Linked DNA regions of Caenorhabditis elegans. Changing the gene in region 1 together with any one later gene gives a genetic interaction. Each region holds a gene or a part of one and is shown in the gene's direction. Other genes may lie near its edges.

Region 1 (8,720 bases):
CTAGTCATGCTGTTTATGACAAATTGAACTTTATAAAAATAAATAGACATATTTATAAGCGATTTTTTTCAGTTTAACTTTTTTCAATAGCATTTCTTGTTTCGCAGGCCATTAAAAAAAATAACAAAATTGACAGAAAAGGGAATTTCTTTCTGACCAGCTCTCTATGTATACAAGAACAGTAGTTCAATATTTTACAAAAAGTGTTTCTAAAATATCAATTTTTGTACAACAACGCGGAAAACATATGTATAAGACTTCTCACTTTAGCCGGTTTAAAAACTACAAATAAAGGTTTTTAGCATTAACGTTTTAAAGCAATTCTCAAAATAATACTGATCTGGAAAATTAATGCAATGGTCTTGTCTTTTTCAATTTCAGGTATTGACTTATTGTTTAACCTTTAAACTTGTAATAAAACAATTTTTACATTTTATTGAAGCACATCAAATCCAAAATTTTATTTATACTGAATGAAAAATGTTTCAACTAGATTTTGTCGAGTTCTGACAGCATAGTTTCGTAGACAAATCAAGAATTTTTAATTTTGCAATAACGTAACATCAAAACAAAATCGTAATTTATTTATTACCAAAACAAAGACGAATTAACTGAATGAATGAAACATGAAAAAGACCTGTATATAACACGTTGCAGATTTCAAACTATGCTGTTTTTTAATCAAAAATACAAATTGTCTTTGTAAAGTGTATCTCCACTAAACGTCTAACCACTGGCAGCAAAAAAATACCTATTTTGAAAATATGGCTATTTTTGTTTCCTCCGTATTGAATTTTTTTTTGAAATTCGAATTTTCCGAGTAGCAAAAAAGTGCCGTACATGAAAAAATATAATTTTTTTTGTTCTTTCAAGTCGATGTACCACCGTCTTTGCAACTACACTATTCACTCCAAAAAAAATCCAAGAAATTTTTTTTTTGCTACCACCATTAAAACGTGTGGAAATTATTTTAGACTGGTTAATTGCGAGTAGCAAAAAAGTGTCCTACCAGAAAAAATAGCAAATTTTCTGTTCTTTCAGGTCGATGTACCACCGTCTTTGTAACTGCGCTATTCATTTCAAAAAACACAAGAAATTTTTTTCAGAATGTTGAACTGGATGCAATAAAAATTTTAAATAATCCACTCTTCGAAATTCCGAAAACAGAACAAGACTTCACTGTGGTGATTTTCATTAAAATCAATATGTGGTAATTTTGTATACTCTCTCTATTTTCTGTTACGGATAAAATAAAAATTGACAACGGAATTTCTGAATTTGAAACATGCATTCAAAAAAAAAAACGATTCCTGTTGGTAACACATATGCACAGCACACTTAAAATGAAACAAACCTGATAAGACATTTTTTAAACTTTTAGGTTCAGTATTTTTGTATTATCTATTTGAAAAGTTACTATTCATTCATTTTTCTTTTTTCCTTAAAATTCTTGTTGCGGATGGAAAAACTAAACCTGAAAATAAATCAAGTGAATACATTAAGCTTTTTCTACTTTTTCCTTACAATGTAATAATTGAAAAGATGCATTTATGAGTTATCGTGATGTCTATTTTTGATTAGTCTCCTGTATTAAAAATCGCGGAAAGCATCAATATGGCCTACGTTTTAAACATCCTCGTCCGTACAGCCACTATCTCTTCCATTACCCTTCATATAATTACACCCGCGTGCCTATTCGCCCTTACACAGTCACTCAGTCCGTCCGTCCAGTCGACTTGTCCTCTTTCTCTGCACTCTCCGATCCTTAACCACTACTCACATGTAAACACACGCGACCGACTGCGATGTGTTCTTTTGCGCCGACCTCCTCTCGCGGACGAAAAATCAATAGGATGGCGGTCATTCGAATTGTGTAACGAAAGCGTTTTTTTTTGCTGCTTTCCGCGTTTTACTAGATTTATTTATAGGTTTGGTTTCCGTATTAATAGCCAATTTGTAGATTATCTAACTGCACTAATGAAATTCGATGGATCAACGTAATCAAAAATCTTTGCTGCCCGACTTTTCGGCAAATGGGTTTTCCGGGCAGTTTAATGGTAAGCAATAAGAAATTAAAAAAAAAAACTTAAAATTTAAAATTTAAAACTTATTGTTAAACTTATTTTATATGCATTTTTATTCAGGAATTCCTCATGGAAATACCAACGCAATTATGTCAACAATTCAGTCGTTGCAAATGCACAGCATGGGCAATCAGTTGTTGCCTCATGGCGATCTCCAAACCGATCTCCAAAATCAGTTTCTTATTGAGCAAGTGAGTTGGAAAATTCTAGCAAAAATATATTCGAGTGACAAAAATGTTAAACTACTCATTTTTGAAAATAAGATAGGATTATAAATCTGACGTGAGCTGTGTATATCATTTTGACTATCTTTGTCGCATACTTTGCACTTGAATTATTATTTTATTTACATAACTTTATTAAAAGCTAGTCGAAACTAAATTTGTATACTTCTTGTTGTTTCAGTTCCAACTAAGAGCAATGCAATCGATGTACAACACTTTTAACAACGGAAACCAGAAGCAACCTCAAGCAAGTCTTACAATGTCGCAGTTCAACTCAATGACTGGGAATGAGCCATCTACCTCAAGCAACGTGTTCTCCGCATCCATTCCAACTACTTCAGGAACACAAATTGTAAGTTGGTTTGTTTCAACCGCTTTTTCTCTTTCTCAAAAAAATTTAATTAAAAAGTAAATTCCGTTCATTTATTCAATGTATAATTTCAGAACGCATCTCAACCTATGATTCCCACCACATCAATGCATAATCTCGCTGTTCAGAGCTCTATGATGCTCGAAAACAAACTAGGACAAAATTTAAATCTAGTAAGTGGCATTGGTTTGGATAATAAATTAATTATATTTAACATGTGTGATAAAGTTTCAGAAAACTACCCAACTCGCACAAACGACCATACCTCAGGCACAAGCTGCTGTTGAAGATTGGATGAAAAACATTTGTGTGGATTCTTTACTCGACCCGAAACAAGCAAAGACACCATCAACAACACCATCTGCACAAGTTTCAGCTGGAACCACATTCAATAGTACTCCAGCAGTATCTTGTGCCACCCCACTGACGGCAACTGTAAGCCTGGCGACTAAACCTTCGGAACCATCTGCTGCTTCGTCTATGCCGACGTCTTCGGAATCGGTGGACGCGACGAAAGGGGACGCGATCGACTTTGATGATGAAGCGCATGATGATGTAGACAATATTTTTGGATTATCACTTTCGGAAAGTGACGTGAGGTCCGGCTCGATGTATCGACGGCCCGATTCGGCGGATCGTGTTCATAGTCCTATTGATGTAAGTGGGAAAGGATGAGTCTGGAAAAAAGAAAATTACAGTTTTCACAAAATTCGTTCAAAACTAAAATGATTGAATGAGTTTCTTTACCTACTATCTTTACAAAAAAAAATTCCAATCAATTTCCATTTTTAGTCAGTCTTTTCTAGTTTACGCCACCCGACTCTCCCCAAGCTGAACTGACATTTGACGAAATATTTGGAATATCAGCACCATCGACATCTGCAAAAGCCGCCACCAAAGAAAAGCCAGTACCGAAACCAAGGAGTGAAATGGTATTTCATGATGTTCCATCCACAAGTAAAGACGGTAAGAGTATATTTTTTAGTAAAACTAATGGGTATTTCGCTTTGAGAAAAATACACTTGTTTGGAATAATGATATACCACAGAAGGAAATTTTTTTCACCGACAATCTTCCCCATTTTAGATATCGCTACAGGGACGCGCGGCAATAAGGAATTTCCGGCAATAGGTAATTTCGGAAATTTCCGCCAACCGGCAATTCCGGCAATTGCCAGTTTCCAAAATTTTCGGCAATTTCGGCAATTGGCGAAATTACCGAAATTGCCAGTTTTCAAAATTTCCGGCAATTCCGGCAATTGGCGAAATTGCCAAAATTGTCTAAATTGCCGGACACGTTCTGCGATTTTCAAACCTAAATATATTTTAATAAAATTGAAAACATTCCACCCCTTTTTGTTAGTATTCGGTTAGTCTTTTTTTTAAAGAAAATGGTCAATCCTTAAAGGAATAAATCATTTTGAGCTTGAAAATAGAAAATTAATGATTAAAATGCATGTTTAGGCTCCTAAATCCTCAAAAAGTATCAAGTTTATTTATATATTTCCGGCAATCGGCAATTCCGGCAATTGCTGGATTTCAAAATTTCCGACAATCGGCAATTTTGGCATATGCCGGTTTATGAATTTTCGACATTCTGAAACTTCGGCAATTGTTGCGCACCCATGTCTCGCTATGTTTTCCTTAACCAGACCTCAATTTTTATGGAATAAATTTTTTTGTAGATGTCTGCAAACCACGTTAAAAAATGTTTATCAAAATGAAATTCATCGTTTTTATTTTTGAATAAACATTCTTCAGACTCAATAATCTCTTTTTAATATCATTTTTAAGTAACTTGTCTTTAGAATTAGTTTTACCAACTCCAAATCACATTAATCAAAACTAAATTACAGCTACTCCACAAAGAGTCCCGAAACCTGCTCCAACCGCTGCATCAAAAGAAGAGGATGACTTTGTCAACAACTTCGTTAAACCACAAAATGTAATCCACATTTACAAAATGTTTTTAAAAATTCAAATGTTTCAGGTTCCTGTGTACAAACAAAAAGCTGCCCTCATGTCCCTTGAAGCAAGAGAAAACGCTCGGAAAGAAGATCCAAACTATGATGCTTTTGAGTTTGAGGATGACGATGATTTCGTGTTTGGTGGGCCTTCGGCAGATTTGAGGCGTGAGCCTGAGCTTACGAAGAAGATTGAACAGAAGGCGAAAAGTGTATACATAACTGGAGTAGGGTTTTCAATTCGAAATGATAAAGAAAAGGAGTATAGTAGTAAGAAATATTATTCCAAACCATCAGCAACTCATCAGCCGAATTTCAATGACACAATTAATGGTAATATTTAACTTTACAATACCATATATTTATATCAAAATTACCTATTTCAGAGAAAGCATTTTTCACGACAGCTGATGAAATTCGTGCTCAAAAAGATCAGCAACTGGTTTGCGCATTCTTAAAACCCGAACAAGTTACCAGCACAGAATGCGTGAGGAATATGAGAAAAGTGACACGAGAAGAGCCAATGCTTCCGAAATTTATAATAAGGGTTGAGCAAGTGCAAAACCAGCATGAAGAACCAATGACTAGAAGGCGATATAAAAGAAAGAAGAACAAAAGTGATAATGACGACTCGGATTTTGAAGATGTGGCGTATAGGAAGAGGAAAACGGCAAAGAAAGTGTAAGTGGAATTTGATTGGGAATGGGAGTCTAGTTATTCTTCATGGCAAATAAAAAAATAAAGTAGGGCTTCCATGCAGGCGCCAAAACGCCTACCGGGAGCGGAACCCAAAAAGTGTCGGGCGCGGCGATAGAACCAAATTTTCAATATGTAGTTTTGAAGAAACTACGACTGTTTCAATTTATGAAAGTCCTATTTTCAGTTACACAATGCACAAAGAAAATGATCCCACTTTTCGACGAACTGTCTTGGACTTTTCAATTGGTCCATGCGTCTCTGATGAAGAAAAGAAGCGCGTCAGCATGTTTGGCCCGGCTGAAGGAATTTTACCCGTGAGCTTGAATTGATCGTTCTGTTTTAATTCCCAATTTGTGTATTATCAGAAAGGAACATATGTAATATGCAAAGCTGACATGCTGAAAGAAGATTGCGCTGTATGGAGAGTTGACAATCAGAATTTACTTCAGAAGTTTCCTCCGTTTAGAGATAGCAAAGCTAATCGACTAGTCTATCGCAGTAGTAGTACGGTAAGATTTGATTTTTGAGAAAGCGCAGCTTATATTTCACAGTTTTCAGTATTCGGGATGGTGCGAACAAATCTCATCACAATACTTCCGGGTCGCTGTGAAAATTATCAAACAGACACGTTCCGAGACAACAGTGGAGCCCGAAGTCCCCCTTGCCGAACTGTTTCCGGCGTCCTCTGTGGAATGGTTCAAGAATCCTGGGACTGTGTTTTTTGAAGGTATTTTGATAATTTTTTTTTGTTTCACCTTCTTTTATAAATAAATGTTGCAGAAGAGACGAAGGTTGAGCCAATAGACGATGATTCAATTTTAACGGAGCCAAGACGAGTCTCCCTAAACACTCTTGTCAACGCGTACCTAACACAGGTGTTTACAAAAACCCACGTGGAAAGCCTCATAGATGATAAAGGTAAGGTGGTTACAGAAGGACTTCTGACACGCTAAGCTTATTTCATTTTGAATGCCCAAAATTCAAATGGAAAATAAAGAACCATATGTTTTCAAAACAATTGTTAAAATTCCTTTAGGTCAATTTACAGAGCGGCGGCTCACTGATGCACATAGTGTTTATAGCATAGAATTGTTTTTTTTTTCTGTTAAAAAATTTGAACGATATCTCAAATAAGGTCTACAGGTTACTGTTCGCCGAAATGATTTTGCGCACAGCTCTGCGGTAGTTTTTGAAAAATTTGTAACAAAATACATGAAGCCTTATCAAGATCAATATGTTTTGAATTTGTTCATGCAAATTATAGCAAACTTTTCAAAATGTGCAAACTTAGAAAACTTCTTGAAATGTAATAAAACGTAGATCACGGCTCCCGTGTAACATAATATCACAAAAGAAAAATCAAAAAATAAAATGTTTGAATTCGATTAAAACTCGCCACTTTTTCAGATTGGACCTATTCTCGTTCAATAGCAGAACTCGAAACCAACAACAAACAATGCGAAGGGCTGATCAAAAAACGCATACCTGTCGAGCCGAAACACAATCGATGGATTGCGAAATACACTAGATTGGCCATATCAAAATCATCATTTCACTGCTTTACAAAGTGTCAGGTACAGTAAATATAATAAGATAGGGAAAGGAAGAACATCTAGTTGATTGTTCATTGTTTGCTACAGAATATGCAGAATATTGGAAATAGTGGTTAGTTGACATAAATTATATGATTTAGAAACTGATCATCAAAACGAATGAAGTCTATACAACTGTGTGTTTTTGCAGATTTGCAAACGGAAAAAGCCGCGGAGAGTGATTCACTTTTTCGACAAAACATCTTGCAATGAAAAACTGCTTGTGGAGAATCTATCAAGCGATATCCATGATGAAAATGAAGACGATGAAGAATATCCAATTGTATCTGATGCGATATCGTGTGGTCGGTGTTCAATGGCAGTTGACTTTCTTCACCGCATGCATCATATTAAATTCCATATGCTTAGGATATGTGAGGATAAGGTAATTAATTTAAATTTTAAAACAGTGTTATGAAGCTAATTCGGTTCTTTTTTACAGCTAGAAGAAATTGGTACATCTGATATCGACTTGACATCCGATAAGATTGTGGAGAAAGCGAAAGCCGACAAAGTCTGGACGCTTGGTGTCATTCAAAAATATTGCGATTTATGGGATCAAGTCCGTTACGAGTTTCGCGATGTGTAATACTGTAATAAACAATTTGAACAACTTTTATAACACATTTTGATTTTCGATTTCTGATTTTTCGACTGATATCCCTGAAAAATAATAGCGAAGAAGAAGAATGTAGTGTTTCTGCGACGGCTGATCACATGGAAACAAATGCTGCGCACTTATTTCTTGAACTTTCCGATTGCCTGTGCTTTTCTTTTCTCATAATTAGTTTTTCAACACAACTTTTGTAAAAAATTTTGTAAGAATTTTTCTGCGTAACATAATTCAATTATATTTTTATTTTTATTTATACGATATTGGCCAAATTTAAAAAAAACAATCCAATGTTTTCGAAAACTGGGCACTTTATCAGAACGTGTTCTGAAATTTTTTTTTTCAAAACTTAAAAAAGGACTATTGTAAGTGTATCAAGACAAAACCCCCACTGAAACAACTTCTTTAAAATAGGCCCATACCAAAAAATAATTTTGTTGCGAGAGCTATTTTGAAAATTTTGACAAAACGGTGTTAGTTCTTCTTTGTGTTCTTTTTATCAGGTAATGCCAGTTATGTTTTTTAATTGGATATATATTTTTTTCTTTCTTGGAATATGGAATTCCGAATAGCGGTAGCCAAGAAAGTTAGTGCAATAAACTTAAATTCAGGATTTTGAGTCAGAAAAATGCATATATTAAAATACTCAATGAATGCCTCGTTCTACAAAAGTAATGCTTCAAGAAAAATACATTTTTAGAATGAAAATCATGTCCATTGCTAATTAGGTATTAAATACCACTAATCAAAAATCTCCACATTTTTTTAATTTCTGAAATAAGTTATCAAAATTTACATATCACTTATACACAAACATTTGAAAAAAATACACTGGAAATTTAGACGGGATAAATTAATCTACTTTTTTTTTCTTATTTTATCTAGGTGATATGCAAATTGTTAACTATTATTAAAATACCAATAAAACGTGAACATAATTGTTCGCAATTCTTTAAAATTTGCTTGACATTGTCATTAGAAGAAACACAGTTTACAAATAATGAGGACACTTTTCTATTTGACATTTATCAGTTTTACATCTGACGCATTTCTTAAATGCCGTTAAAATGGCAAAAAATGTCAAAATTGCTACTACGTCAAACATGTGCCCCCGTGCAAAACGATTAGATCTTGCATTTGCTGATAAACTACAAATGATCAGTCATCAATAACAT
Region 2 (5,570 bases), on another chromosome or scaffold:
TAGCATTTCTAGTGAAAACTCACCGTCTCGTGTATAATCTTGCAGAAAATATCATCTTCACTGAGAATCAAGGCGACAATCAATGCAAGATAAACATGGTGAGAGTTGTTCGATGTCGCGACACCGTCGTGAAGAATTCGAAGAACAGGAACAACTAGATTCTCGAGGTTGATCCGAGACAACACATAGTTCCGGAATCCCGAGTTCGCCTGTAGAAGCATGTAGAGTAGAAGCATCGGAGGTTCCTGGCCAGCGGTAGCACACAATCTTTCGTATAATCCATTATAATCGATTTTGAACGACACAATCTGAGTAGGCAATGTGGATACTTCTTGAGCATTTTGGAAGAGAGCAAGGGTTTCTTTGAATGGATTGGATGAATTGAGAGGTTGATGGCATGAAAGATTGAGGAGAAGCAGGATGCTTAAGTTTCCAAGAGTAAGTGGGGGCTTCTTTTCTTCCTCTGCGGAGTCGATACCAGTTGCCATTTGGACCATTGACCACATTGATGCTTAAAAATCGTGTTTTTTTTTTAATTTAATAAAGAATTAAAAAAGATTTTCAGTGACATACAAGCTAATCCAAAAACAATGCTCTCTTGTGGCTTTTGTACAGTCATGTGATACTCTGAATTGTGGATCAAATAATTGAGAAGAAGAGTTTTAGTGAGCGAAGCTGCGTGTTTCGCACATGATCCATCAATAAAGAATCTGAAGACAATTGAAGTATTCACAATTGATTCATTATATAGTTGAGAGCTCAGGAGAGTTAGGAGACATCGAACTGCTTCGACATGGATTGCCAATGTTGTTTCGCTGAAATTATTTTAATTCAATTTTTTAAAAAATAATTTAAAACTCACTTTACAGAAATATTGATTAAAATCGAAACCAGCTCATACGTGAACTCTTCTGCAGTGTTTTGAAAAACTATCGGGATATATTTTGTCGCTGAAAACGTCAGAATTTGATTATTATTGAATTTTTTTTTTAAATGAAGCTTATTTACCTCCATTATTATTTTCGTTTTCTGATTTCTGTTCGTCATCATCTTCCTCATCCGACGAGGAAGATGTAGACGACGATTCGGTTTCCGTACTCTCATGACTTTTGGCGAAAATCCTCACGAATTCTTTTTCCGTCATACGTTGAGTTAAAAATCTGGCGATGTAACGAAGAATGAGAAGAGCGTTTGATGTTTGCCATAAGTAGATTTTACTGAAATAAGAAAAAGCTTTAATTAAATATAATGATGATTTTTTTTTCCAACTCACTTTTCGCATTGTTCTGATGTTTTTAGTTCTGTGGCTCTGCGAAGGAAAAGTCGAATAAATGCAGCGAAATTTCCTGTTGTTTGTGTATTGTACATTAGACATTGAAGATGATCATCTAAAGCAGATTCCAAAGCGATTCGGGTGTCTCTAAACGATTATAACATTTTTAAAGCTTTTGCCTAATTTTAATCCTTACTCGTCGTCATCATCAAACTTGAGACTGAAAGAGAGAAGTTTGTTCCAAAATGGGTCATAATCGTCGACAGGTTCCAAACCGCTGAGTTTCTTCAGATAAATATTCTCCTGTAAGACCGTTTCCTTGGTTATAACTGATCCCATGTGTCTGAAATTTGTTATTACACTGTTAATAATCATAAAAATAAAAGAAAAAGTCAAGAAAGGGTCAAATATTAATCAGGTCACATCTTTTTTATTCAATAAAATCTCCTCTCTCGTTCGTGGCAATGCACGTGAAATGCGCCAACAACCGCGAGTGCGCCAACACACACACATACGCGTCAGCAGACAATTCGCTCTCGTTTGAAATTTAGTTGTTTCTTTGTTTCTGCTGAAATAATGTCAGTTTTCCGATAATTTCAGCGTTTTCTGACTGATTTTTCTTGTTGCATTCACTTCCTAATAGTTCATTCTACTCCATTCTTCATTTTATAATCTGTTTCCTTCGCAATTTAGTGAATTAAACACGTAAATCTTGTTTCAGATAAATTATTCAAATAGTTGCACAAAGCTCAATAGTTTAGAAGTATCTTCAGTGCTGGTCACTAATACAAAATGGATCCGGCTATGGCTTCTCCAGGCTATCGGTCTGTGCAGTCCGATCGGAGTAATCACCTAACAGAGCTGGAAACGAGAATTCAAAATCTTGCCGATAATTCACAAAGAGATGATGTCAAATTGAAAATGTTACAAGTTAGTTTCAATAATTCGTGTTAAGTAATCAATTTGTTCGGTTGCAGGAGATTTGGAGCACAATCGAAAATCATTTCACACTAAGTTCGCACGAGAAAGTCGTGGAGAGGCTCATTCTCTCGTTCCTACAAGTTTTCTGCAACACAAGTCCACAGTTCATTGCTGAAAACAATACACAACAGCTTCGAAAGTTAATGCTTGAAATCATTCTTCGACTTTCGAACGTAGAAGCCATGAAACATCATAGCAAAGAAATTATCAAGCAGATGATGAGGCTAATCACCGTGGAAAATGAGGAGAATGCCAATTTGGCTATCAAAATTGTCACCGATCAAGGGAGAAGTACCGGCAAAATGCAATATTGCGGAGAGGTTTCACAGATAATGGTCTCCTTCAAAACAATGGTCATTGATCTGACGGCGAGTGGTCGAGCTGGTGATATGTTCAACATAAAAGAGCATAAAGCTCCACCGTCAACTAGCTCCGACGAGCAAGTCATCACTGAATATTTGAAGACTTGCTACTATCAACAAACGGTTCTTCTCAACGGAACGGAAGGAAAACCGCCATTAAAATACAATATGATTCCATCAGCTCATCAGTCAACGAAGGTGCTCCTGGAGGTTCCGTATCTCGTGATTTTCTTCTATCAACATTTCAAAACAGCGATCCAAACCGAAGCGCTTGATTTCATGAGGCTTGGTCTTGATTTTCTAAATGTCAGAGTTCCAGACGAGGATAAACTCAAAACAAATCAAATAATAACCGATGATTTTGTCAGTGCACAGTCCCGATTCCTGTCATTCGTCAACATTATGGCTAAGATTCCAGCGGTAAGTTTCGTTTTTTCAAGTTTTTTTTCTGTAATCCTGATTTTTATTTTTCAGTTTATGGATCTTATCATGCAAAATGGACCGCTTCTAGTGTCGGGAACAATGCAGATGCTCGAGCGGTGCCCGGCTGATCTGATAAGTGTCCGACGAGAAGTTCTGATGGCTTTGAAGTATTTCACATCTGGAGAAATGAAGTCGAAATTCTTTCCAATGCTACCTCGACTCATCGCTGAGGAGGTTGTTCTGGGAACAGGATTCACTGCGATTGAGCATTTGCGAGTTTTCATGTATCAAATGCTAGCAGATCTGTTGCATCACATGCGAAATTCTATAGACTATGAAATGATCACACAGTAAGTTTGAATAAGACTTTCTGATGAAAAATGTTGAAATTTCAGCGTGATTTTCGTATTCTGTCGCACTCTTCACGATCCTAACAACTCTTCTCAAGTCCAGATTATGTCTGCTCGGCTGCTCAACTCACTGGCCGAATCTCTGTGCAAAATGGATTCACATGATACCGTAAGACTTATTCTATCAATAATCGTATCTCACTTCGAAATAAGTTTCAGACTCGTGATCTGCTCATTGAAATCCTGGAGTCGCACGTGGCCAAGCTCAAAACTCTTGCAGTCTATCACATGCCTATTCTCTTCCAACAATACGGAACCGAAATAGACTACGAATACAAAAGTTATGAGAGAGACGCCGAGAAACCTGGAATGAATATCCCAAAGGACACTATACGAGGAGTACCGAAACGAAGAATCCGTCGGCTCTCCATTGATTCAGTTGAAGAGCTGGAATTCCTGGCATCAGAACCATCCACGTCGGAAGATGCAGATGAGAGTGGTGGAGATCCGAACAAGCTTCCTCCGCCAACAAAAGAGGGAAAGAAAACGTCTCCCGAAGCGATTTTAACCGCCATGTCAACGATGACACCTCCTCCATTGGCAATTGTTGAAGCTCGAAATCTTGTGAAGTATATAATGCATACGTGTAAATTCGTGACAGGACAATTGAGAATCGCCCGGCCATCACAGGATATGTATCATTGTTCGAAGGAGCGAGATTTATTCGAACGTCTTCTACGATATGGTGTAATGTGTATGGATGTATTCGTGCTTCCAACAACTCGAAATCAACCACAAATGCATTCTTCAATGCGGACAAAAGATGAGAAAGATGCTCTGGAGTCGTTGGCAAACGTTTTTACAACAATCGACCATGCGATATTCCGGGAAATCTTCGAAAAGTATATGGATTTCTTGATTGAAAGAATTTACAATCGGAACTATCCATTGCAATTGATGGTGAACACCTTCTTGGTTCGAAATGAAGTGCCATTCTTCGCATCTACGATGCTTTCATTCTTGATGTCTCGAATGAAATTGCTGGAAGTTAGCAATGACAAGACGATGCTATATGTGAAGCTCTTCAAAATTATCTTCTCCGCCATCGGAGCCAATGGCTCTGGGCTTCATGGAGATAAAATGCTCACTTCATACCTCCCAGAGATTCTCAAACAGTCAACTGTCTTGGCATTAACAGCTCGTGAACCTCTCAACTATTTCCTTTTGCTTCGTGCATTGTTCCGCAGTATTGGTGGTGGCGCTCAGGATATTTTGTATGGAAAGTTCCTGCAGTTACTGCCAAATCTTCTTCAATTCTTGAATAAATTGACGGTGAGTTTCATTTTTTGATATATCGGTAATACACTAAAAATCCAGAATCTTCAGTCATGTCAACATCGGATTCAAATGCGTGAGCTCTTCGTCGAGTTGTGTTTGACTGTGCCAGTTCGACTCAGTTCCCTTCTGCCATACCTACCGCTTCTGATGGATCCACTGGTGTGTGCGATGAATGGGAGTCCGAACATAGTTACACAAGGATTGAGAACATTGGAATTATGTGTGGATAACTTGCAACCTGAATATCTTCTCGAAAATATGCTTCCTGTCCGTGGAGCTTTGATGCAAGGCCTCTGGCGTGTTGTATCGAAAGCTCCAGATACATCATCGATGACAGCAGCGTTCAGGATCCTCGGAAAGTTCGGAGGAGCCAATCGAAAACTTCTGAATCAACCGCAAATTCTTCAAGTAGCCACTTTAGGCGACGTAAGTTTATTTAGTTTATTCTCTTCCTCGTTTTAAGTTCTAACATTGATCCTATTAACAGACTGTTCAGTCGTACATCAATATGGAATTCTCGCGGATGGGACTCGATGGCAATCACAGCATTCACCTGCCACTGTCCGAGTTGATGAGAGTCGTTGCCGATCAGATGAGATATCCAGCTGATATGATCCTTAATCCAAGTCCTGCAATGATCCCGTCAACTCATATGAAGAAATGGTGTATGGAATTGTCGAAAGCCGTCTTGTTAGCCGGACTTGGATCTTCAGGAAGCCCAATTACTCCAAGTGCAAATCTTCCGAAGATTATCAAGAAACTTCTTGAAGATTTTGATCCAAACAATCGTACCACTGAAGTATACACATGTCCGAGGGAAAGTGATCGAGAGCTTTTTGTGAA
Region 3 (8,945 bases), about 14 Mb from region 1:
ATTGCCAACATTTTTGAATAATTTGAGCTTTTGAAAAAAGTCCAAAGCAATGTCGCATGGATCCACCCCTACGATGTTTTAACACAAACAATTAAAACAAAATAACAGTAAAAAAACGTAGAAAAAATGTTTTTGTTTGGTCGACTTCCAAAATTATGAGTGGCAAAAACAGAGTAATTGCCACTTTTTGATTGTAAATAGAAAAAATTCAAAAAAAATTTTTGAAAGTTTTATTATGATATTCCGTCATTTTGGGACAACCACTCCACCTTTAGGATTTTCTTACTCAATTTTTGAATGTCCTACAGTTTTTGTATGTAAGAATCATATAATAAAACAAATTTGAAGAATCATACTGAAATCAGAATATTTATAATTCCTCTTTCAAAAATACTGAATATCATATAACAAGGGGCAAGCACCCACCATAACCCATCACATTATTCCATTCCCTACCATCTCTTTCTCCATTCGGTCCGGTCCATTGAGTTGGTAAACATATAATGTATATCGTATGATAAGGCCGCTGAATTTCAATTGACTTCCCCCCCCCCCCCCTCCTCTTTAATCTTCTCTTTTGCGTTACCGTACGATACGTAATATATGTAAAACTGAGATTTTTTGCATTGCCCCTTGAAGTCTAGAACTTCTCGACTTTCAAATTTGTAAGAAGGGTCTCATTTACCCTATACTTCTACTTCATGCTTCTTGTATAATCCCATCCGCGGGGTTGGTGTCTTCAAGCAACCGGGATTACTCTTTCCGGCTTATTCGAACCCCCTCTCCTTGCTTCAGTATTGCTCCAGATTGCAATTGTTTCAATTAGCCGCTACGATGACACCTAAACTAAATCCTCTAGGCTTAGGGGCACAAACATTCGTTTGTTAGAACTGATTATGTGGAGATGGAGCAAGATAATACAAGTGTAGAATACAATGATTAATCAATGAGTCTCACAGAGTTTTGCAAAAATTCTGAAAAATTAGATATTTCCAAAACCACGTTTTATACCAATTGTTGATTTTTGACTCATAGTAATTTTAACAATAAACCTTGTTAGATAAATTTCTAGAAACGGATTTGAGTTTTGGTGTGGCGAAGTATCAAAAGTGTACACATTATCTTATCGACAATAATCCCAAACCCACTCGGAGCTCCTAAGTAAATAGTGACTTGCATTCCAACCACTGTCTTATCTATAACTGGCAGACCCCCTCCTCTCCCGAAACGCGCATCCTTAAAATTTCTATAAGTAACTTAACCTTTATCTCTGCTGACACATCGGGACAATTCTAATTCTGATGCGCCCCTTATGCGATGTGTAGCGTCGTTATTTTCGATTTGACGGTGAGGAAAAGAGAAAGGCGGGGTTATAGGGTAGAAGAGTGAAGAGAGAGAGAAAATCTTGAACAAGTGGATTGTCTTTGTTCGATTCTTCTTTTTTCCTCCCTCAACGACGAAGACTAAGACGATGCCATACCACAACGACCCGAGGCTTTTCTCGAACTAGTAGTACATGATCGTTTCTACAGATGGGGGAGGGTTGGCAACCAGCCCCATCTTTCTTTTTTCCACTGTTTTCTACCTCACCTACCTATTTCTCCTCATCTTCCGCATTCTCTGCCTCTTTTAGACTCTTCCATCCGGTTCCTACATTATGCCATCTCGATCCCGACCTCCCCCCCCCTCAACCCCTCCTTACTACTTTCGCTCCATTCGTCGTCTTCAATCTCTTCTTGGCGACGACGTGGTCGCCTTCTTTCAGATTTTCCATATCAAATCTTGTTTTCGTTTTCGTTTCCATCCATTCTCATCTTCAACTTGTCTTCAGTAGCGAGTAAGAAGTAAGAAGAATGAGTACATGTCGCCTGATTCGTTGTTTTTATTTGTGTCTTAAGATTTCTAACCCCCTCTTGGACAGACTGCAAATCTGTTATCCAAACTTGGTGTCTCCCGTTCTTTTTTCATTAATCGCCTTAACAAATCCCACTATCTCCCTTTCTTCCATTTTTGTTGCTCTCCGCTCTATTCCATCGCAATTACGGTTGAATAGGTGCGCGCTTTCTTTTCCACCTTATTTGCTCCAACTAGCCACAACTACCATATCTCTTTTGCTCTTGCTCTCTCTCTCTCTCTTACTCGCTCTTTTTCTATCTATCTTCCCCGCATCATAGAAAGCCCCGCCTCCTCCATATCTATGAAAAGTGGGCGGGAAGTCCGCACACCAATCGGAGCGCAGAGCTAAATCTATCCAACTATCTTCTGGCTCTTCTTTCGATTCTTCTGCTATTAGTTTATCTCGATTTCTCATTTTTATTTTAAAAATTTCAAATATAAAGTTTCATTCAGCTAGATATGTTCCCAATGAGGGTAATCGTGGAAACAGTTCGCTCTCAACATTGCTTGACATGCTCAAACGAAGGACACATGATCACAGACACTTATGCAATTGTCGCAGGGACCACTACATTAAATCAACTCGTCGAAACTGTACTAGCAGCTCTTGGACATTCGAGCATGTCGACAAGTGCTCGAGGTTAGTTGAGAAAACATTTTGAAAATTGCCATAGACCTCGTGACTAGCTAAACTATTTTGGTATTAGTAGTACACATTCCTTATCTTCTTTTCTTTCATTTTTGTTCCTTTTTTTCATTCGCCAAAAACGGATAACAGATCTATCTTGTGATTGACAGATTTACCCTACTCTAGGCGAGTAAGTAATTGAGTATTGAGTGGGATCTCCTTTTCTTGACAACTACTTTCAGTTTCAATTCAATCTCATTGAAGCATAACGTGGTTGCGCAACTTCGCTATGCTGTAAGAAGATATACATCTTCCTCCTACCCCGAGATCACCCACTTTTTTTTGGCTAAGACGACCCTACCCACTCATGTGTTTTGTTCTGCGCCTCTTGCCAGATCAACGGTATTTCTGCGATTTCAGCGCCCTCCTCCCATTTTCTCACTTTCACGTTTTCTTCCACCTTAGTAGAAAGTGAAACAGACTGTCGAACCTGTTCTTTTCTCGGCGGCTTTGCCTCCTTGGTATCTACTTTCCCAAAGATTATGCAATCATGTGAAAGGGAAATCGGAAAGAAAACGAAGGGAATTGCATAGGGTTTTTTAAAAAAATATTTTGCATTTGTTGTCCGAAAATCGATAATTCAGAAATTTCAGGCCTCATACAAGTAAACAACTGGAAACCCTTGCCATTCGATCAAATTACTGAAAATTTAGATGACACTGTGGAAAACCTCTTCAAAGATATATCATCACATGTAGTGCTAAAAATATTGTCAAAACCGTAAGTGTTTCCTGAAGTATTCTTGTTTCACTCCGCACTATAACCTCATCTATCCCATCCAATCCCGCTCCAACCAGACGACTGTCGATCGGGAGGTTTGTGTGCTCCGGGGGGCTCATTCTGTAAAGGTGAGCAAAATCGCGCCTCACAACCCCTATACATCCTCTTTAGAACTACTCAAAGAAAATGGCAAACATAGGTATGTACAATGCGCGCCTCGCACACACACACATATATATAAACACATTCAGACATGTGTACAGGAGAGAAAAAGTGATGGAAGGAAAAAAGGGGGAAAACTCATTGAAATTGGCGGTGGCTGAAAAAAGATACATTTTGGGGCGCATTTCTAGTCATCAAAAGTCAAAGGAGCGGGAGGGTCCGGGGACCAACAAAATTATTTACCTAGATCCCCGTATGACTTATCCTATCTGTTTGCGGATTATTGTCGCTTCCTTCATTTCTTTATATCGTTCATATTCTATTGATATTTGGCATTTAGTTTGCTATCAAACATGGCACTCACAAATACCGCAAAAGCTTTAGCGCTTTGTCCTGCGACGCAATTTTTATGAGACCAATGAAAGCACAAACCATTCACGGACCGAATTCGATTTTTATAGCCCTATCCCTGGGCACACATATGCCTATACACACACACAATTTTATGACCATCATCATGATTTTCTTTCAGATCTACGGATTCAAATTCTGTGCAATGTATAAGTGAGGTGAAGAATAAACTCCTGAAAGCTGCAGTAAACAAAAATCCCAATGTTTTAACAAATGTGGATAATCAGCAGGTTAAGGTGGGTAGCTGCTATTTTCTCAATAATTCAATTTCAATTCTGATAATTGCAGGATGTCATCAACACAATCATTGCCGGAGATGAAACACTCTTGAATTCCGAACAAATTGGTGCAGTCAACGAATGGCTTGATACGCTGGAAACGAACGAGGATCGTAGAAGGTAAGATAGCGCCGCCCATGCAATGAGTTGCGAGCCAGTCAGCCAACCAGCCACCGTAATCCCGCTGTGCGTGTTGGATGTGAATAGAGGGGGGGGGGGGGCAGAGTTTGAGAGAAAAGACAGAGAGCAGTGACACGGGGGGTAGCGCCAAGTTAAGCCGCTATTCGGTGCTCGAGTTAAGCCCCCTCTCGGCTTGTTTGTAGAAATAGACTTTATGGATTGGTTAGGAATTTTGAGCTGCAGGCAGGATTGTGTATACATTGTGGTTGAAGGAAAAGTTATGAGAGAGCACCCATTTTGTTTATAAATTTTTGGGGAAATTTAGGAGATGGAATTTTGCTGTCTCTAGATATCAGGTAAAACCGATTCCTATCGGATATCATATAAACAATATACTTTTCCACGTCTGTGCATTCTTATTCACATCTGAAAAGAGAGGACTTAACTTAAATAGTTAGTTTCGTTTAATTTCCACCGCAAGGATTCATTGGAGCTCCCCCCCCCCCCCCGTCAGAATTTCAATTTCCTGAGGTTGTCTTCATCAAAAACCCGCCTTTTGTTTTCAAGTGTCGTAACAATCAGAATGGATAGGCGTCGGGGATTAACAAGCCGGCAGATTGTATCATTTGCTCTTTCTTTGGTGCCCATCATCACCATTCATCTTATTAGTGACAGCCCCCACACACAATGTGCGAAAACGATGATTGTTTGGGATTGGAAAAGAGTAGGGGATGGGTTCAATGGGAAGGGGAAGGCAAAGTGATGAAGATATACGTGAATGAAGTTAGAAACACTAGTTTATACCGAAGTATCTAAGAATTGCTTTGAAGACAAGTTTAATCTATAAAAAATTGTTTGAAACTGTAAAATCGTTATATAAAATTGATTTTTTTTACTTTATTACCCATTTGCGTAGCAGAAAACGTTTTTTTTTTTTTTTTTTTTTTTTTTTTTTTTTCTAAGCCTAAAAATAAAAAACTACACACGGTTTTATTTTAAAATGTTAAAATTTATTTTTTCAAAATGAGGTGAAATAATCCACAAGTACCAAAAATTTTCCTTGTTCTTAGTGCTAAAATAATAAAACACCGTACGCCTTCTATTATTTGCCAACTTAAAATGGTTGAGTTCAAAAATTTTTGAAAATCTAAAATTTTTAGGAGACGATTCACCAAATATGTGGCTTGTCAGAATTTAACAATTACCAAAACTCAAGTTTTATTTCGTAACTCAACTATAAATTCCACTAAGCCGGTTGACAGTACGGTTGATGCCCGGATAAGAGAGCAGTATTAGACTGAGATGAAGATAGCTAATTTCAAAAAAAAAACGAGACAAAAGACAAAACGATCAAATTCGGTCGTTCTCTAAGTGCCCTCCATCATGCCATTGTGTCTTTCTCAATTTCTCAAGAGAAGGAGGCTAAGAGATCAGGACTGGTTTTGGCCCCTTGTTGACCCGTGAAAACATCTCTGAAACTGCCACTGCCTGCTGATCTACATTCCCGAGACAACAAAGGGAAGAAGTCAAATTATAAGTGATGGAGACAGTTGTTTTCCACATATTCCTTTATTGAAACTCCTTCTTCCAACGAGAAGAAAAAAGGAAAAAGAAAAAGCTGAAATCAAGTTTTCCAGTCATCGAAGCACATCCAAATTTTCGAATTTCCAACTGTACAAATAATTGAGTTGTGTTGTGAGTAATCTTATTGTGACATACAGACACAAGAGAGGATACAAAACATGTACATATTGCTCTGAGGGAATGGGAACAGCAGAATAAAGGGCAAAATGGGAAAGGACGGCGGTGACGCATTCTGTAAAGAGTAATAAAGAATAGAAAAAGGGAGATTGAATGCGTTGTGTGCATACAGTGATATATCCAAACTGTTACCCGGGGGGGGGGGGGGGGCGCAAAAACAAGAAGAAGGGGACCCAGTATAACTATCAGAATGGAGTCGTGATTGGAGAAAAAGTGTCAGTAAAAAATGATTAAAAACTATCCTTACAAAAAACTTGTATACGAGTAATTACACCGTATTTCCTCTATTTGTATTGTACCACATTGTTCAACTTTAACTGTTTATATCTCAGTTATCGTTTGTGCTATTCGAAGTTGTTAACTAACAAAATATTTTTTCAGTTATTTTTCTATAGATTCGTAGTTAAAAATATATGTATATCTTTAAAGTGTATTTATACTCTTTAAAATGAATTAAGATATAACGTTTCAAAGTTAGGTAGTCGGGTGCAATACAAATAGAAGAAATACGCTACATGATTTTCTTTTCATTCCACTCTCAAGAAAGATAAACGCCTGCTTTCATATTACTTTCAGTACACATAATAATGTATGTATTTAATTTCAGCCCAACACAAGTACAAAGATTCAACACTCTTTACGAAATTCCACGTCTTGATAAATGGTTCAAATCCGATGCAAATCCATCTAAACAAAAAATGAACAATTACTTAAGCCAGCTCAATCAGAGTCCGTTCAGAAAGAACAATTCCAAGATCAGCTATCAACAGGTGAATTTAATGCGCCTACATATTACTCCATTAATCAAATGAATTTCCAGATTTGCAATTGGTTCACACAAAAACGCTCGAGTTCCCGTACCTTAGCTCCAGTAGACCTAGTGCAGGTCTCGTCAGCTCAGACAGCGGCGCAGCTGCTCCCGGGATTCCAACTCAACTTGCTCCAGTCCCTGTTTGGAGAACAACGTCAAAAATTTGATTTTTACGACAAACTGGATGAAACCAAGATTGTCGGCGGCTCCGACTCGCCATCTCCAGCCGATGATGAGATTCATAGCAATTCAGATGAAACTATTCAAGATACTTTGTTTTCCATCAATATTAAACCAGAACCGGAAATTGTAAGTTACGTTTGACTGTTTGTGCCATAGTTAGGTTGATTAGCGTTGCTCGTGCTGAAAAGCTTTGAAAAATCACGCTAAAAACGGATTTTCGGCTATTTCGATTCTGATTCACATTAAAGATAACATCTCCCAAATTGCTAAATATTACCGATAAGGTTATAAAGACCTAACACTACGGCCGAAAATCTGAATTTATTCCAAACTGTCAGCGTCGGCTGAGCGCCAATTAAAAATATTTTTCGACACAATTATGGTCCACCTTTAAAAATTATTCATCCCAAAACAAGCAACATTTCCTACAGGATTCAATTGCATCCTCCCCGGATATGGCAAACTCAATGCGCGAATCATTGTCCTCGACCTCCCCAAAGCTTCTCAGCGGGCTCGACCTCGGAGCATTCAGCACCCACTCATCATCCACCAACTCCATGCAAAACGCCAACTCATCAGGTACAACAAAGAGCTTTAAAACAGACAGGCTAACGGAAAAGAGAGGGAGATGGGTTGAACCAAGAACTCATAAATTAGAAGCGAGCACACACACACAAACACACATAGACATACACAAAGTGCGCGAAGACACATAACAAAGGGAGAAATGTGGGGCGTCGAATTTCGCACAGACAACCATTACGATCACTGAGATCTGAGGAAAAAAAAATGAGGCTAGGTATTGTGTTTACAGAAATAAAACAGAAAATCAACTGCAAACTTGATTTTGAGAAATATTCTAGGGATTTTGTACTGGCTCAAACTTATCGAGAAGGTGGCCATGTTCATGATACTCAGTCTGAAAACCTATATTGGTTGCTATCTCTAAAACGCTCTTAGATTGCGTTTGCTATGCATATGAAAAATGACTGCATAAAAATTCTCTATCTTTTCGACAAGAAAACTTTAAGGTGGAATTTTACTTCTATTTTTCGATAAAATCACTGACGCGGAACGTTTGAAAAAATTCAACGATAAAGCAAATAATCTCCGTTTTAGTGTTTTCAGCGGCTCGCTCACGCCTGATGTTCGACCCACTCACCGAGCTACCCGTCCTCGAAAAATGGTTCGAAGAGAATCCTCACCCGACATGGATGCAAATCGATCAGTACACACAATGCTTGAACAACTGCGCTTATCGAGAGAATTATCCGCATATTAGTCAGCACAATGTGAAGGTAATATTCTATATTAATACTGATTACTAGTTATCGAATTCGAATTGCAGATCTGGTTCAAAAATCGACGTGCAAAATGCAAGCGATTGTTGAATGGAATGCAGGAAAAGCTTGAGCAGAAGGTTTTCGTATAAAATTAAAATTTCCAACTTTTTTCAAAATCTTATTATCTTTAATTTCGAAAGAACATTAAGTTTTTCACATCAATAGTTCCTTCTTTAACCGTCATACTGGTGTACCCCTTGAATTCCTGATCTTCAGTGCCCCACAATTTCTCTTCAACGAAGAGCAAAATCACTACTTCATTTTTCATTCCAGCTGTGATTTTTGTCTGTAAGCTACACCTAATCGCTAGCTGTATATCTCGACGCATCTTTCGTTCTGCAAAACTTCTAGTCGCTTCTTGTCTTGTTTAACCTTGATGGGAAATTAAGCCGGCTTTAATTTCCTTCTTTCTTTCAATCAACAATTTCCCATCGCTTTCTTTGTCTCTTTCAATGTTCCACAGATCACATAGTTTTAATGGTTTTTCAATGTTTCCCTTCTTACCGTCACACTACTTTCCAATATTATTCATCTTAATTTTATGTCTACCACTTCCAATATCAATCTTGCCC

The links.
Region 2: of eor-2 (region 1) and trr-1, changing one enhances a phenotype caused by changing the other (phenotypic enhancement), as found in Caenorhabditis elegans (one large-scale study listed by BioGRID).
Region 3: of eor-2 (region 1) and dve-1, changing one enhances a phenotype caused by changing the other (phenotypic enhancement), as found in Caenorhabditis elegans (one large-scale study listed by BioGRID).

The regions. Positions count from the first base shown.
Region 1 is NC_003284.9:14,601,105-14,609,824, forward strand, and holds eor-2 (EOR-2), read left to right. Parts: upstream 1-1,960; 5' UTR 1,961-1,987; coding exon 1,988-2,057; intron 2,058-2,144; coding exon 2,145-2,275; intron 2,276-2,489; coding exon 2,490-2,660; intron 2,661-2,752; coding exon 2,753-2,851; intron 2,852-2,906; coding exon of another isoform or gene 2,907-2,912; coding exon 2,913-3,335; intron 3,336-3,484; coding exon 3,485-3,644; intron 3,645-3,764; coding exon 3,765-3,809; intron 3,810-4,533; coding exon 4,534-4,622; intron 4,623-4,667; coding exon 4,668-4,974; intron 4,975-5,027; coding exon 5,028-5,322; intron 5,323-5,524; coding exon 5,525-5,654; intron 5,655-5,705; coding exon 5,706-5,849; intron 5,850-5,898; coding exon 5,899-6,067; intron 6,068-6,120; coding exon 6,121-6,258; intron 6,259-6,747; coding exon 6,748-6,914; intron 6,915-7,083; coding exon 7,084-7,317; intron 7,318-7,374; coding exon 7,375-7,521; 3' UTR 7,522-7,550; downstream 7,551-8,720.
Region 2 is NC_003280.10:11,672,352-11,677,921, reverse strand, and holds the start of trr-1 (Transcription-associated protein 1), read left to right. Parts: upstream 1-1,994; 5' UTR 1,995-2,065; coding exon 2,066-2,203; intron 2,204-2,250; coding exon 2,251-3,036; intron 3,037-3,090; coding exon 3,091-3,389; intron 3,390-3,434; coding exon 3,435-3,558; intron 3,559-3,602; coding exon 3,603-4,721; intron 4,722-4,766; coding exon 4,767-5,153; intron 5,154-5,214; coding exon 5,215-5,570. Other genes in the region: C47D12.2 (Dymeclin), read right to left, coding at 24-511, 574-815, 863-950, 1,009-1,217, 1,274-1,420, 1,470-1,612.
Region 3 is NC_003284.9:427,204-436,148, reverse strand, and holds the start of dve-1 (Homeobox protein dve-1), read left to right. Parts: upstream 1-2,349; 5' UTR 2,350-2,355; coding exon 2,356-2,536; intron 2,537-2,648; exon of another isoform or gene 2,649-3,177; coding exon 3,178-3,304; exon of another isoform or gene 3,305-3,998; coding exon 3,999-4,113; intron 4,114-4,165; coding exon 4,166-4,275; intron 4,276-6,643; coding exon 6,644-6,806; intron 6,807-6,856; coding exon 6,857-7,156; intron 7,157-7,461; coding exon 7,462-7,609; intron 7,610-8,149; coding exon 8,150-8,328; intron 8,329-8,378; coding exon 8,379-8,462; 3' UTR 8,463-8,945.